Linked DNA regions of Coturnix japonica. The protein of the gene in region 1 interacts with the protein of each later gene in a pairwise test. Links are inferred from orthologs where the notes say so. Each region holds a gene or a part of one and is shown in the gene's direction. Other genes may lie near its edges.

Region 1 (4,369 bases):
CCACATCACGCTGGTCATCCACCCGCGCAAGGAGGACGACGAGAAGGAGCTGCAGACCGCCTCCATCTTCGGCTCTGCCAAGGTGGCTCCTCCTGGGCCTCAGGCGGGGACAGGGTGGGGACATTGGCACGTCGCCGTGACCCAAACTGTGCTGCAGTGGGGCTGGGTGTCCCCTGCCATCTGGTGGCACGCGGCTGATTGATGCTCATCAGCTGTGGGTGGGATGTGGCATGAGTTGCTCCGTGGGGTAGCAGGGAGGACGCTGGGTGTGGGGGTGCCCCGTGCCCTGCAGCACCCCCTGGAGATGTTCTCCTCCCCCAGGCCAGCCAGGAGGCCGACAACGTCCTCATCCTGCAGGACCGCAAGCTCACGACGGGTCCCGGGAAGCGCTACCTGCAGGTGTCCAAGAACCGCTTTGATGGCGATGTAGGCGTCTTCCCGCTGGAATTCAACAAGGCCTCGCTCACCTTCTCCTCCTACGGCAAAAGCAAGGCCAAGCTGAAGAAGGTGAAGGAGGAGAAGGCGCCTTCACCCAAGAAGGGTCCCAATGGAGGAGGTGTGGGTGGCTCTGGCAAGCCCTGAGTGTGGCAGGGACAACCTTGGTACTCGGGCACACCAGGTGCCGTGCGGCTGCGCTCCTCCTGAGCAGAGCACGATGCTGGGAGATGGGAGAGGAGTGGATGTGCAGGCTTTGGGGTCTCTGTACCCTGAGCAGGTCAATATAGGGTTGCTAAGTGGAGGCTGATGGCCCAGGTTTACCTCCCGCACGGTGTGGTGCTAGTGCAGCTCTGCCGGCTCTGAGCCCGGCCCCTCTGGCCACATGTACCACCAGCAGCAGTAGCAGCAATGCCTCAGGGACACAGCCCTGGGCGCCTCGGAGCCTCTCATGGCAAAACACTGTGTCTGAGCCAGTCCTCCCCAGCACAGGGGAGCCCGCCGTGGGCTTTTGGCCCATCCCTCTGTTTTCTTTACACTTTTATTAAAGCAGAGCTGTTCAAGCTGTTTGTCCTTCGCTGCATGAGCGTCCCCGTGCTCCCATCCCCCATCCCTCCAACTTTGGGTCCCATTCAGCCCCGTGTCCATGCTGTGCGTGGGGCAGGACGGCACAGCGGGGCCCCATGGCCCCACGCACACACACACCTCCCGCCCCAGCGCTGACCCAGCACCGGGCACCTCCCCGCCACCGCGCCCCACGGCTCCCACGCGTGGGGCCGGGAGGAGGCATTGGCCGCCGCGCCGGGAGCCGGGCCCATGGCGGAGGACGGGGATGTGGAGGTGAGCGGGACGCAGCCCCCCCCGTGCTGCCTGCGGGGCCGTGGTGCGGGCTGAGGCCCTGCCGCCCCCTGAGGGCCCTTCGCTGCCGTCGCTGCCCCGCGGCCCGGCCGTAGGGCAACCCCCTGCCGCCTCCCATCCGCCGCGGGGCCGGGGGCCGGGGGCGGCGGGGCGGGCGGGGCCTGGCGCGGGCCGGGCCGGCGGAGAGCGGCGGTGCGGAGCGGAGCGTGAGCGAGGGCGGCCGGGCCTGGGCCGGAACGGGCCGGTGGGACCCGCGGGGACACAGTGGGGCGCTACGGAGAGGAGGGACGGGGGGGGGCGGCCCTGACCCCGCTCTCTCTTCCTTTTCCCGGCTCAGGGGGCGGCGGAGTCGGGCCGGGACCCGCCGGACGGATGGGCCGCGGCCGGCCAGGTGAGAAGCGGGGCGACCCGCAACGGGAGAGGGGGCCCGGCGTCACCCCGGGGTGATGCTGGGGGCGGTGGAAGCGGGGGGCGGCCCCGGGGCGGTGCCAGCGCGGCGGGCGGAGCGCGGCGGCCCGAGCGCATCATGGGGCGGCCCGGCCCGGGTGGGTCCGGCTCGGCCCGGGGGGACGCGTCGGTGTGGAGCTCCAGGGCGGGGGGAGGGGGCGGAGTGGGGACCGTGAGCTGTGGGAGAGAGGGGTGTAGGGACGGGATTGGGGAGCGGGGTGATGTTGGTGCCGGGGTTGGGGGGGTTGGGGAGGAGGATGCTTCAGGATGAGGTGTTTGGGGCGTCTCTCTGAGGCTGGAGCTGAGGTATGGCAGTGTAGGCAGCGCTGTGGGGCAGAGCAGGGGTGCAGGACCGGGAGCAGTGGGGCAGAGAAGGCACCGTGACTGCTACGCAGTGGGGACCCTGCTGAGTGCATGGGGCTGCCCCTGTGGGGCTCTTCCTTTGGGCCCTGCACGGGAGCACTGGTGCTGCGTGAGCCCCCTGCATGCCCCGTGCCTCCCCCTGCTCCGGCTAATCCCAGCTTTATGCTGTTCTGCTCGACGCCTGCTCATGCCCGGCATATCTCTTGCAGCCATCCCACATCTGCCTGCGCCATTATGGGGGTCCTATATTCATTGGTGTCCTATGGGATGAGTGAGTGAGTTTATTGCTTAAGGCCTCACGTTGCCTTTCTTTTACAGGCTGCCTGCGCCCCCCTGCCCGCTGGGGGCCCCCCTGCCATGGCCATTGTGCAGACACTGCCAGTTTCCATCGAGGCCACGCCTGAGGCTGCTGCCCAGCTCCGCACTGCCACCCGCTCCCCCCTGCCCACCCACGGCACCATGGGCAGTGTGGGCAGCCTGATTGCCAGCCGACCATGCCACGATCGCTCCTGCCAGCCTGCTGGTGCTGGTGGTTCCTTCCGTGTGCAGGATACGCTGCTGCGAGCCAGCCCCCCGGATCCCCTGCTCCACACTTTGCCCCCCAAGAAGCCGTGCTCAGCCACTGCCCATGCCTACACCAATGAAGTTTTTCATGGGGAGTGGCTGGAGGCAGCCTCTCCCGTCAGCCCCTGCAGCGACTCAGACGAGGCACGGGATGAACAAGCCCCAAGTGGTGGCATCCGGGGGCCGCCCCCCAAGCTTGTCCCTGTCTCTGGCAAGCTAGAAGAGGTAAGGTGGAAGCAGTGCTGGGGGATCTGCTCAGCCCTGTGCTGCACTGGGGCTGCTGGGCTTGGGGAGACGTGCTGGTGCATGCATAGAGAGAGCACATGGTCCATGTCGCTGGGGGTGGTGGTGATCTCTGTGCTCCTGCTGCCCTCTTCCTCATGTCAGGAGTGGCCATGTGTGTGTGGGAGCCTGTCTGAAACTGCTGCATGGAGCAGAGGGCACCTAGTGGTCATCTTCTATAGAGCTGTGACACTCTGAGGTGTTGGGTGGGAGCAGAATTGGTGGGGTTACCAAGTCCTCCCTGGTGCTCTGGCAGCATCCCCAGCATCTGCCAGGCCACCTCTGGAGTGTACCTGGTCCCCAGATCCCACTCTCTCCTCTTTTGCCTTGCAGAATGTGGAGAAGACCCTGATCCGCCCTATGGCATTCAAACCGGTGGTACCCAAAGTCAGGGCTGCTCCGGGCCCGGCCAGCCAAGGGGTACGTCCAGGGGCTGCAGCATTATCAGAGAGCCAGGTGAGCCTCACCCACCTGCTGGGGACCACCGGGGCCGACAAGCCTGGCTCACTGAGCTGCCGCACCAGCAGCCACTCAGGCACGCTCTCAGACTCGGGACGCAACTCTCTGTCCAGCCTGCCCACCTACAGCACAGGCTGCAGCCAACATACTGAGCCTGGCAACCTCACAGCCACCCCTCACAGCCACCCTGAGCCCCCAGGTGGCTACCGCCCACCAGCCGGCCCCTCCAACTCGGACAGTGGGCGCTCATCCTCCAGCAAAAGCACGGGCTCGCTGAGTGGCCGGGGCCGGCCCTCCTCCGAGAGTGGCTCCTGCGGGCGCTCGCCGCTGCCTGGTGAGGAGGTTCTGCTGGTGCGTGAACTGGAGGACAAGCTGCGGGAGAGGGAGGCCGAGCTGCAGCAGCTGCGGGACAGCCTGGATGAGAATGAGGTGGCCATCTGCCAGGTAAGAACCATATAAGGGTAAGGAGAACCAGGGGAGCTCTCAGGGCTGGGGGTGCCCATATAGTCCTATTGTGTAGATTTGGGTTATGCATGCAGTGATGTGTCTGGGGAACCCCATGGAGATTGTAGATGCTGACTTGGGGAGACATGGAGGTGGTGTGGGATGTGGGATGTCCCATCTCAGCGTGTGCCTGTGCCCAGGTGTATGAAGAGAAGCAGCGTCGCTGTGAGCAGGAGCTGGAGGGTTTGCGGCAGCGCTGTGCGGCCCAGGTGCGACAGGCGGCCCAGCAGGCGCAGCGTGGGCAGCAGGTCCTGCAGCTCCAGGTGCTGCAGCTGCAGCAGGAGAAGAAGCAACTGCAGGAGGACTTTGCTCAGCTGCTGCAGGAGCGGGAGCTGCTGGAGCGTCGCTGCGCATCCTTCCAGCGGGAGCACACTGAGCTGGGGCCACGGCTGGAGGAGACCAAGTGGGAGGTGAGCTATGCTGGGAACAACCGTGGTGTCCCTGTCACTCGGGGGCC
Region 2 (4,351 bases), on another chromosome or scaffold:
TTATGAAGTCCTCTTGCAAGCACGATGTTGAAGGACTGAAAACACTGGTTTGCGAGGCTGTGCTTGAGGAGTTAGCAGCGTGGGTTAATCGAGTTAATTAGAAACTCCACTAAGGTTTAGGAGCCCAGCTTTGCTGAGCTGCCATATCTAAGGCTAGCTTGAATCAGGCTGCACACTGAAATTCTTACTCTTGTGTAACGTGTCTGAGATAACTTTGTGGTTTGAAAACGGTGTATGTAACATGTTGTTTTCTGTTTGGTTCTACAACAAAACAAAACTGGGTTTAAGACAGAGCAGTAGTGTTGCTGTCACTCGGTCTGTGAGCCGTGAGCAGCTGTACTGAGCTGTGGGCAGCTGGGAGCTGTTGTCCATGGGCAGCAGCTTCAGTCCCCTCTCTCCTGTTGGGAAGAGCTGCAGAACAGGATGTGGCCAAGGCTGCTGCTGGGAGCCTCAGCCTTGTTGAAGGCCCTCTGCATATCTGCGTGCACTTAAAATTCCTTAAAATTTACAGAACTTACATCTAAAATTGCAGGCAGAGTGGTTTTAATTTGTATAGGAGATGTAATAAAGGCATTGGATGTGTTGTATTATAGAAAGATCTGTATGTATGACTGCATAATGGAACCTCTCGAGCGAATGCCTTACACAGGCTGGTACTTGTGCTCTGGGAAGTACAGAGGGTTGTGCCTGGGCAGCAGCTCTGTTTCTTATGGCTCTGGGCAGAAGGTTTCCTGGCACTGGGAAAAGCCCCGGCCCCTATTGGTCCCCATCCACCACTCACAAGAAACAGCTGCAGGTGCAAGGTGGATCCCCTCCTTTCCCCAAAGCATGTGATGGAAGCACATGGAGGATGGGTTTGTGTTTACCTGCGCTTACATGCTTGCCCGTGGGTTTAAATGATGTGCTGGTACTGCTGGGTTCATGCTCCAGCATTGTCACTTATTAACATAACAGAGTCATTACGCACAGAGCGGAATGTGGCACTGAATGGTTTCTGTGTGTTGCACGGAGCTCGTGCGTTCAGTTACGAGTTTCTCAAAAGGTTGATTCCCAGCTTCTCGTCAGAACATTCTGTGCAGGCCTCTGCAGCAAGAAAAATTGGACCCAATTTAAATAGACAGTCTTGTGAATCCTGAAAGAATTTGGGCATTTAGCCCAGGAAAGGGAGAGTTCTCTGCAAGAACTTCATTAACCCTGTCTGTCAGCAGAATAAGGAATCAAAGGAGCTGTGCAGACTTCCCGAAGAACAGATCTTCTTGTTCTGCCCCGCAGCCGCGATGTGCAGCGCTGATCCAGGAGCTGTGTCTGTGCCCTGGGGAGATGGAGCCAAGAGCAGGTTACACATAGAAGAGTGGCTGCTGTCAGTTCCAGATCTTCAGGAATGTGTAGGGAAAGACACCACTGTACTAGTATAGATGCTAATACAGTTGTCCTTACCGTATTTAGTGGAGGAAGGATCCAAACCTGTTTCTGATGTAGATGTTTTTGTAAGTAGAAAGATGTTAAACCTTTTTACCCTGGGAAGAGTTTCTGCTTCCGTTTGGCTGCTCCTGCAAGGTCCGGATACCGGGAAGCTCCTGCAGCATCTGGCTGCTGTGTCTGCAGCACGCAGCCTTTACGAGGTGGCTTTGAAGTTGCCTTTGGATTCGAATGGTATGAATCTTCAGATCGGCTGGGCTGCGTGGTCCTCAGCATCATTTCCTGTGACTTTTGATTATGAGGAATGTAAATACTTCAAGCTGTTGTCCTGATGTTTTGAAGTTGGATGTGCATATATGTATATATAAAAAAATCCCCTGGGTTCCTTTGCATGAGATCCAGGTGTGCTGGCTGCACGGACTGCAGCACAGAGCACCCCCCATGGCCACGCATGAGGTTACTGCAGGCAGGTGGAGAGATGTGGCAGTGTCTGGCAGGGAACAGATACAATATAAATATATTTCTAGCTCATATTTAATCTTTCCTTCATTGGAAATGAATGAGTTCTGAGGAGGATAACGTAAATGTTCTTAAATAATTTGGCTTCAGGCTTGAAAGCTCTATTGCATTATGAGTTAGAAGATAAGCATGTTGTTGCATGCTTAGTAAGCACCATGGTAAAATTCCAGGTAGATTGAGTATGTGTTTGTTTTCAGCATGTTTCCTTAATGCTAGTAGCAGCCTGCAAGGTCTGTCTCAGCTGTTTCAAAGACTGTGAAACCATAGAATCATAGAATGGCCTGGGTTGAAAAGGACCACAACGATCACCTTGCTTCAACCCCCTGCTATGTGCAGGGTCACCAACCACCAGACCAGGCTGCCCAGAGCCACATCCAGCCTGGCTTTGAATGCCTGCAGGGATGGGGCATCCACAGTCTCCTTGGGCAGCCCAGTGCTTTCAAGAGGCTCTGAATTGCACGAAGAAGAGTATGAATTATGTAGCCTTGCCTTGGCTTCACAGCATATCTGAGTGCTGGCTGGAGAAAAGCAGCCCGTTCTTGTTGGTCAGTAATTACTGTATTACCTGTCTTCAGAGGAACTGTTTTTCACTTTAAACGCAGCTGCCTGCTGTCCATACTCAATGTTGTATGTGAATATGCATTTGGTATTTATCTGCCCACAGTAGGAACGGTGTACACAAATATGTATGGGTGGTGGTGGCACAGTAGGAAGTTCTGTGCAGGGAAGGAAGTGCTAGGGCTGGTGGAGGGGAACATTTATCTCACTGTCCAAGTAATTCTTTATTCATAGCCATAAATCTCTGAGTATCCCTGGCATTGGTCTCTTGGGAGCCCTGTGAAGCCATCCCTTGTAATGAATGGATGGAGCTAAGTAGTGTTTCAAGTGTGTTTAGGTTCAGAAGACTTTTAGAAACAATTCTATCTCCTGGTCTGGGGCCGAGTTCTGAGGAGGTGACCAAAAAAATGGCACAAACAGCAAATATCTCACATTAAACCTATTGTGTGTTGTGTGCCACATGAAGAGGGTTTGCAAAAAAATAGTGCAGCAGCAAGGATCAATCAAATAAAAGGGAGAAGGAAATTGATCCGTGGTTGTTGCTGTGTTTGGAGCCATAGGGGACAGCATGCAGAGCTCATCCACATCATAGCCCTCTAAGCTGGAGTGGATGCTGCTGCATCGAGGAGCTGAGTGTGAAGGGAGGCAGGATGGAGACGTGGGAGATGCTGAACCAAAACTGGAAGCAAGCTGGTAGCTGCCTGCCTGCTTGGTGGTGGCAGTTAATGAAAGTAATAGCATGAAAACCTTCCTGTCAGACTTATCAGCTCAAGTACCCTCTTCAGGTGTATGGTATGGATGGAAAAAGGGGGATTTTGATGCAGAGAATGCTTGGAGAGTACTTTGAACTTGCACTATAGATTTGTCCCTGAACTAGACTAGAGAGTACTTGAAAAGATAATGTTACCACAATTGGGAATAAGCTCTGGGTAGCGTAAAGTTTGTTGACTTAATGTCATTTTGCTTCTAGGTATAGAACAGTGAATTACAGTGTCTGTCATGGCATTTGTTTAATGAATATCAGTTGTTGACATGAAGAAGCTGTAGGTCTTCTCAGCCATTTTGCTGCAGCATTCTTGGTGGGCTTGGGGTGTTCAGGAGGCCAGCACCCCGTTACTGCCCACTAAGGCTGTCCGGAGTAGGATCTCAACAAAAAGTCAGCATGAAATCTTAACACAGCGCTGTCAGGATAAGCACCGTCCCAGTGTGGGAGGCTCAGTGCTGCTCTGCAGGCAGGGGATGGGTGCTTCCATCACCTCGGCCTTGGGGGGCTTGGAACCACGGGTGCAGTTCTCACTGATGATTGTGCTTTGGTTTCCACACTACCTCTAAAACTAGGAATATGTAAATGTATAAGAGTACTTCAGTATTTTTGTTCTTAGATGTTGTTTCCATAGTGGGACCACTTGTAACTTGCATTCATGTGAGTTGGATGAAGATAACCTTCTGAAAGGCTTCAAAAACATCATCTGTTAAATGTCACTCATGTGCAGTTTGATTTAAAAAAACGCAGTGCAGTGTCCTTAGGACTTAAAACTATCGACAGTTTTAGTTTGAAGCACAACTGTTAGTTGTGTCTGATAGTCGATGCTTTGTTACTCACGGCACCAGAGCCGGGCTCTGCTGCTTGAAGCTTCCCTGTTTCCACAGATGGAGAAAGCCATTTCCTGCCTGCTGTGGTTTGTCCTTCAGAGGTTTTGTCATTCAGAATGAATGACATTTTTTAGATAGTATCTTAGCCCTTTGGTTATGGATGATGTTACTACGCCTAATATAAAGTTGTGTAACTGGGTGATATTAATATTGTTTTCAGGAGCTTGTTCACGCTTCCATGTATTTTATGCTTTCCTGGGCT
Region 3 (4,281 bases), on another chromosome or scaffold:
ACACTTTTGCCCTAATCACACCGCGCACCTTTTCCTTAACCAACATTTACGACGCCATCAGATCATCTCGCAATAAACGCATTTATCATAATAAGTCGGGAAAAACTGACCCTGTTACCCCGCACCGCCGGGCGGGACCCGCACCAAACCGGAGCCGCGCGTCAATCATCGCTTCCAGGGCTGGAAAAAAGAGAAATAAAAATTATAATTCTAATTAAAATTAAGCCGAAATGAGTCGGATCGCCGATAACGCCGTCGGGGAGAGGGCGGCGGGGGGGTGGAGGGGAGGCGGCACGCACACATACAAGCGGTGCTATAAGCGAGGTGTGCGGGGGGGGGAACACCGTGACTGGAAAGGCGAGGGATCCCTTTTTTTTCCCCCCCTTTCTTTTTCCACAGGCAATAAATTCAGGACTATAAAAATCCAAGAAAGCTAATGTAAGTTTTATTAAACTCTTTAACCGTCGCAAGTCGGAGGCACTCCGCAACAAAGCAGAGTCAGTGGCGCTCGGTATTTCACCGGGCTTGTAAAGTTCAATGAAGGTTTCTGATTCCAGCGACGTGGTGAATCACGCTGGTTCGGCTCCAGCAAAGCAACCCCGACATTATGCCGCAAAACACGTGAAGATGAATTCATACACGGAGCGGTTTTTGGATGCGATACGGATAGAAGCACTCAGCCGAGGGCATGGGGAGGGGGAGCAGGGAGGAAGGGGGGGGATCGTGTCTGCAGCTCGCTGCTCCGAGCCGTAATGTCACGCATATGCCACTCACATTTGAAATTTCATATTTGCCCCCATGATCGTACCACGTTAGCATCCATTTTCCGATGCCAGAGGGTTTGTTATTTACAACACCCTCCCACGACTCTCGCTTTTCCTTCCCAAAACGCATCTGTATGCGCATCGTGTGCATGTCGTGTAATGCACACACGAGTATGTGTGTATACGAAACCACTGGGGTGCGGGTCGGAGGGAGGGGGGGATGGGGGGGTAGGGGGGGTTGATTTCTATGTATTTTCTGCCTTTTGGTTTTTGTTTTTTGCTATCGTACTCTGGAGCCCGAGTGGCAAAGAATAGCTTTTATCTCCCATTCCCCCATGGTGGTTATTAAAGGCGAAGTGAATACATCAGCATCTTTCATTAAAAAACAAGGAAAAGAAAAGAAACCCGGACCCCCTCCCGGACCCCCCCCCCCTCCATAACAACAGCAAAATCTACGTAGGGAGATATCAGCCCCAGCTCTGCCCGTTTCGTGGCTTTTCTAAACTCCTGACGTTTTGCAACATTGCATAAACATAAAACAATCCATCCTTGATATGGAATGCAAGGGCGGATGACAGCGCAGCGCAGCCCCCTCGGCTTCGATTGATTTACGCCGAGACTGACGCTTTATCAGGCACACGAAAAAAGTTTGACCAATCATTTTGCTGGGAGCTCACAACACAGCAGCCCAACTGTACTTTGTTGGCTAGGAAGTTCGAGAAGGGGGTAGAGTACAAATCTAGATCTGTCCTATATATTTTTTTTTTCCCTTCATTGAACCGTGCTTTGTATGATGTCTGAGAATGTCCATTTCTGGGACTCTTAGCAATTACTATGTCGACTCTATTATAAGTCATGAAAGTGAAGACTCGCCTTCAGCTAAATTTTCATCTGGGCAATATACGAGTTCCAGGCAAGCTGGGCACAATGAACATCTAGAATTCCCCTCTTGTAGTTTTCAGCCAAAACCTCCTGTTTTCAGCGCCTCCTGGACTCCTTTGAATCCACATTCTTCTGGTACCCTTCCTGCCGTCTACCATCCATATATTCAACATCAAAGCGTCCCATCTGATAGCAGGTATCTACGGAGCTGGCTGGATCCAGTGCCCAGAGCAGAGACCCTCCCCGGGCAGGGATCTGTTAAGGCTGAGCCGCTGCTGGGCCGTCCCGGGGATGTCCATAAACAGGGAACACAGGAGTACAATTTAGAAACTTCTGCTGCAAGGGAAGGGATCGTTTCCAATCAAAGGCCCAGCTTCGAGGACAATAAAGTTTGTGAAGGAAGCGAAGACAAAGACAGAACAGATCAAAGTAAGTTATAAAAGTGAGGAAGTAAACAGTATAAAAGCTGGAGGAGGTGCAATAAAAGGGGACAATGCTGCGTAAAGTTTAAAATCAGGGCTTAAAGAAAACTCTCAGATGGCTGATGCCAACCTAAGGGGAGAGGTGGGGAGGGGAGAGGGGTGGCATTGTTTCTGGGGGGAAATACAAATAAATATTAAAACGAGAGTCGTCTCCGACCAAAACAGAGTCCAGAGAGGACAAAAGCTGGATCGAGCCGTCCTCCTTCCTACAGAACGCTGACTCCGGCAGCGGAGATCATTGCTGTAAGAGGGAGTGAGGGAGTGCGGGGCTGCGGGTGGAGAGAACCGAGGGACTGGAGGGGGGGGAGAGTGCGGGGAAACGCGGGGAGAAGGGCCGGGAGAGGAGAGCGGAGGTCGGGGGAGAGAAGGGAAAGGGAAAATCGAGGAGGAAAAGTTCACGTGGGGGGGAAGTAAACAGCGGCGGGGGCTTTTCCGTGCCCGCTGAGCTGCGCTGCGCCGGCAGATTGAAGGCTCGGGGCTCCCCTTCACCTCGGGGTTTGTTGTTTTTTTGCTGCCGTGGGTGTATTTGTCGTGAGCGTTTTGCTTGGTTTCCTTTTTCCCTTTTCTTTTGTTTTTATTCTTCTTTTATTATTATTTTATTTTATTCTTTTTTTTTTTGCACGCCTCCGCTTCTTTCTGTTTCCAATTACTCGTATATTCGTGCCTCACTTCAGGGTCTGACTGTTCCAAAGCCGAAATATCACTATTTCCAAACTCCCTCCGAGTTGAGTTAAAAAGAGAGAGAGGGGGGAGTGCTTCCAGCTTAATTAGCTCTTTATTTGTAACGTAGCCAGATTGGAGAACAGCTAAACTTCAGCCTGTGCCTTTTTAGTGACCTGGTTTCTCTTTTATTAGCCCTAAAACGCAGAATGAAGAATCGTTTTGATGTGTTTAATAAGATTATGGTTAGTGCTGCTTGTAATACGCGTTGTTGTTGTTATTAAAATGACGCAAGAGAGTTTGAGTGTGTAAGAATGGGGGGTCTTCACCCCGCACCGGTTCGGTTGGTACCCGGGGTCCATCTGGGAGGTGAAAGGGCTGAGAGGGAGAAATTTGGCTCCAATATCGCGGCGAATGTTTGAGCAATGAAAGGCGAAGTTGTTGCGGAGTGTTGGGTTGGAGAGGGCAGAGAAAGCCCCCGCTAAAGGTACAGCGTGCGGAGCGTGTGCAGGACACCCTGGCACAGTCATTCCGTGAATTAACTTCATTTTGGTTTTTCCACCCCATCTCAACCCCCCCTTCCCCCTCCTCAACCCCTCACCCAAGTGTAGGAGCAACAGTACTGAAAACGCGGTGTATTCCCCCCTCCGTGTGCACGATGGTGCGGGGGCATTCTTTTTTTCCCCTATCGTTTGGCTTGCACCGTGCACACTCACTCACACACACACTCACACACACACAAAAAGAAAGTCCTGTTCTATTGTGCTGGGCAGAGATCCAGAACAAACTGCAAGCGGGAGGTGAATGGTCGGAGAGAATGAAATATCCAGGTTCTGTGCTCAATGTCCCTGAAATTCAATATAGAAAAGCCTCGTCCAAGAAAATGTTATTAAGTCCTAAGTAAGCGCAGGGACCAGAGCTAAGAGGATGCAGTGTGGTTTCTCTATGGCGTGTGGTTACGACGCATATTTTGTTTTAAATAATAGTTTAATTTGGGCTAATGTGGAGAGGCTGCCAGGGCTGGGAGACGGAGCTGTTTTGCAGCGAGCACTCCCACCCATTTCCCTGACTCTTTCAATTTTTTGAAAGTATTTCACAATAATGAATCTCTAGGCCGGTTATGGCACCGGGATCTGTGAATTTATTTGCTAGGTTTGCAGGAAACCATGTGCCAGAGCCTCCCCTCATTTGCTCGCCCATTCAGGAGGGTGTATACAGTCAGTAAATAAAATACCCGCGTTTCAAATGCCTCCGATTTTAACGATCCGAGATGCGACCGAAAAAATAAAAGAAAATAAAACCCGACCAAATAAAAATGCGTTATGAAGCAGAGCCCTCCGTTGCCATTAAAAGATGGGTAGCAGGATTAACAGTATCAATTATTAACAGCTTTCTTCCTCTTTAATATTTAATTCTGCATATTAGATCGAGTCAATTACATTAAGGAAATAGCAGCGCAGATTCGGAGGAGGCAGTACTTACAGGGGAAGATT

What was found.
Region 2: the proteins of LZTS2 (region 1) and NEK6 interact in binary tests that used the Homo sapiens proteins (3 or more experiments, as listed by UniProt). The two-hybrid records come from large-scale screens. The link is inferred for Coturnix japonica from reciprocal best matches to the Homo sapiens genes LZTS2 and NEK6.
Region 3: the proteins of LZTS2 (region 1) and HOXB9 interact in binary tests that used the Homo sapiens proteins (3 or more experiments, as listed by UniProt). The two-hybrid records come from large-scale screens. The link is inferred for Coturnix japonica from reciprocal best matches to the Homo sapiens genes LZTS2 and HOXB9.

Annotation. Positions count from the first base shown.
Region 1 is NC_029521.1:20,199,637-20,204,005, reverse strand, and holds the start of LZTS2 (leucine zipper putative tumor suppressor 2), read left to right. Parts: upstream 1-1,464; 5' UTR 1,465-1,684; intron 1,685-1,773; exon of another isoform or gene 1,774-1,866; intron 1,867-2,421; 5' UTR 2,422-2,460; coding exon 2,461-2,892; intron 2,893-3,282; coding exon 3,283-3,852; intron 3,853-4,052; coding exon 4,053-4,322; intron 4,323-4,369. Other genes in the region: TWNK (twinkle protein, mitochondrial), read left to right, coding at 1-82, 322-582. UniProt on the Homo sapiens protein: Negative regulator of katanin-mediated microtubule severing and release from the centrosome. Required for central spindle formation and the completion of cytokinesis.
Region 2 is NC_029532.1:7,814,234-7,818,584, forward strand, and holds the start of NEK6 (serine/threonine-protein kinase Nek6), read left to right. Parts: upstream 1-1,484; 5' UTR 1,485-1,499; coding exon 1,500-1,653; intron 1,654-4,351. UniProt on the Homo sapiens protein: Protein kinase which plays an important role in mitotic cell cycle progression. Required for chromosome segregation at metaphase-anaphase transition, robust mitotic spindle formation and cytokinesis.
Region 3 is NC_029542.1:3,139,087-3,143,367, forward strand, and holds the start of HOXB9 (homeobox protein Hox-B9), read left to right. Parts: upstream 1-1,414; 5' UTR 1,415-1,567; coding exon 1,568-2,075; intron 2,076-4,281. UniProt on the Homo sapiens protein: Sequence-specific transcription factor which is part of a developmental regulatory system that provides cells with specific positional identities on the anterior-posterior axis.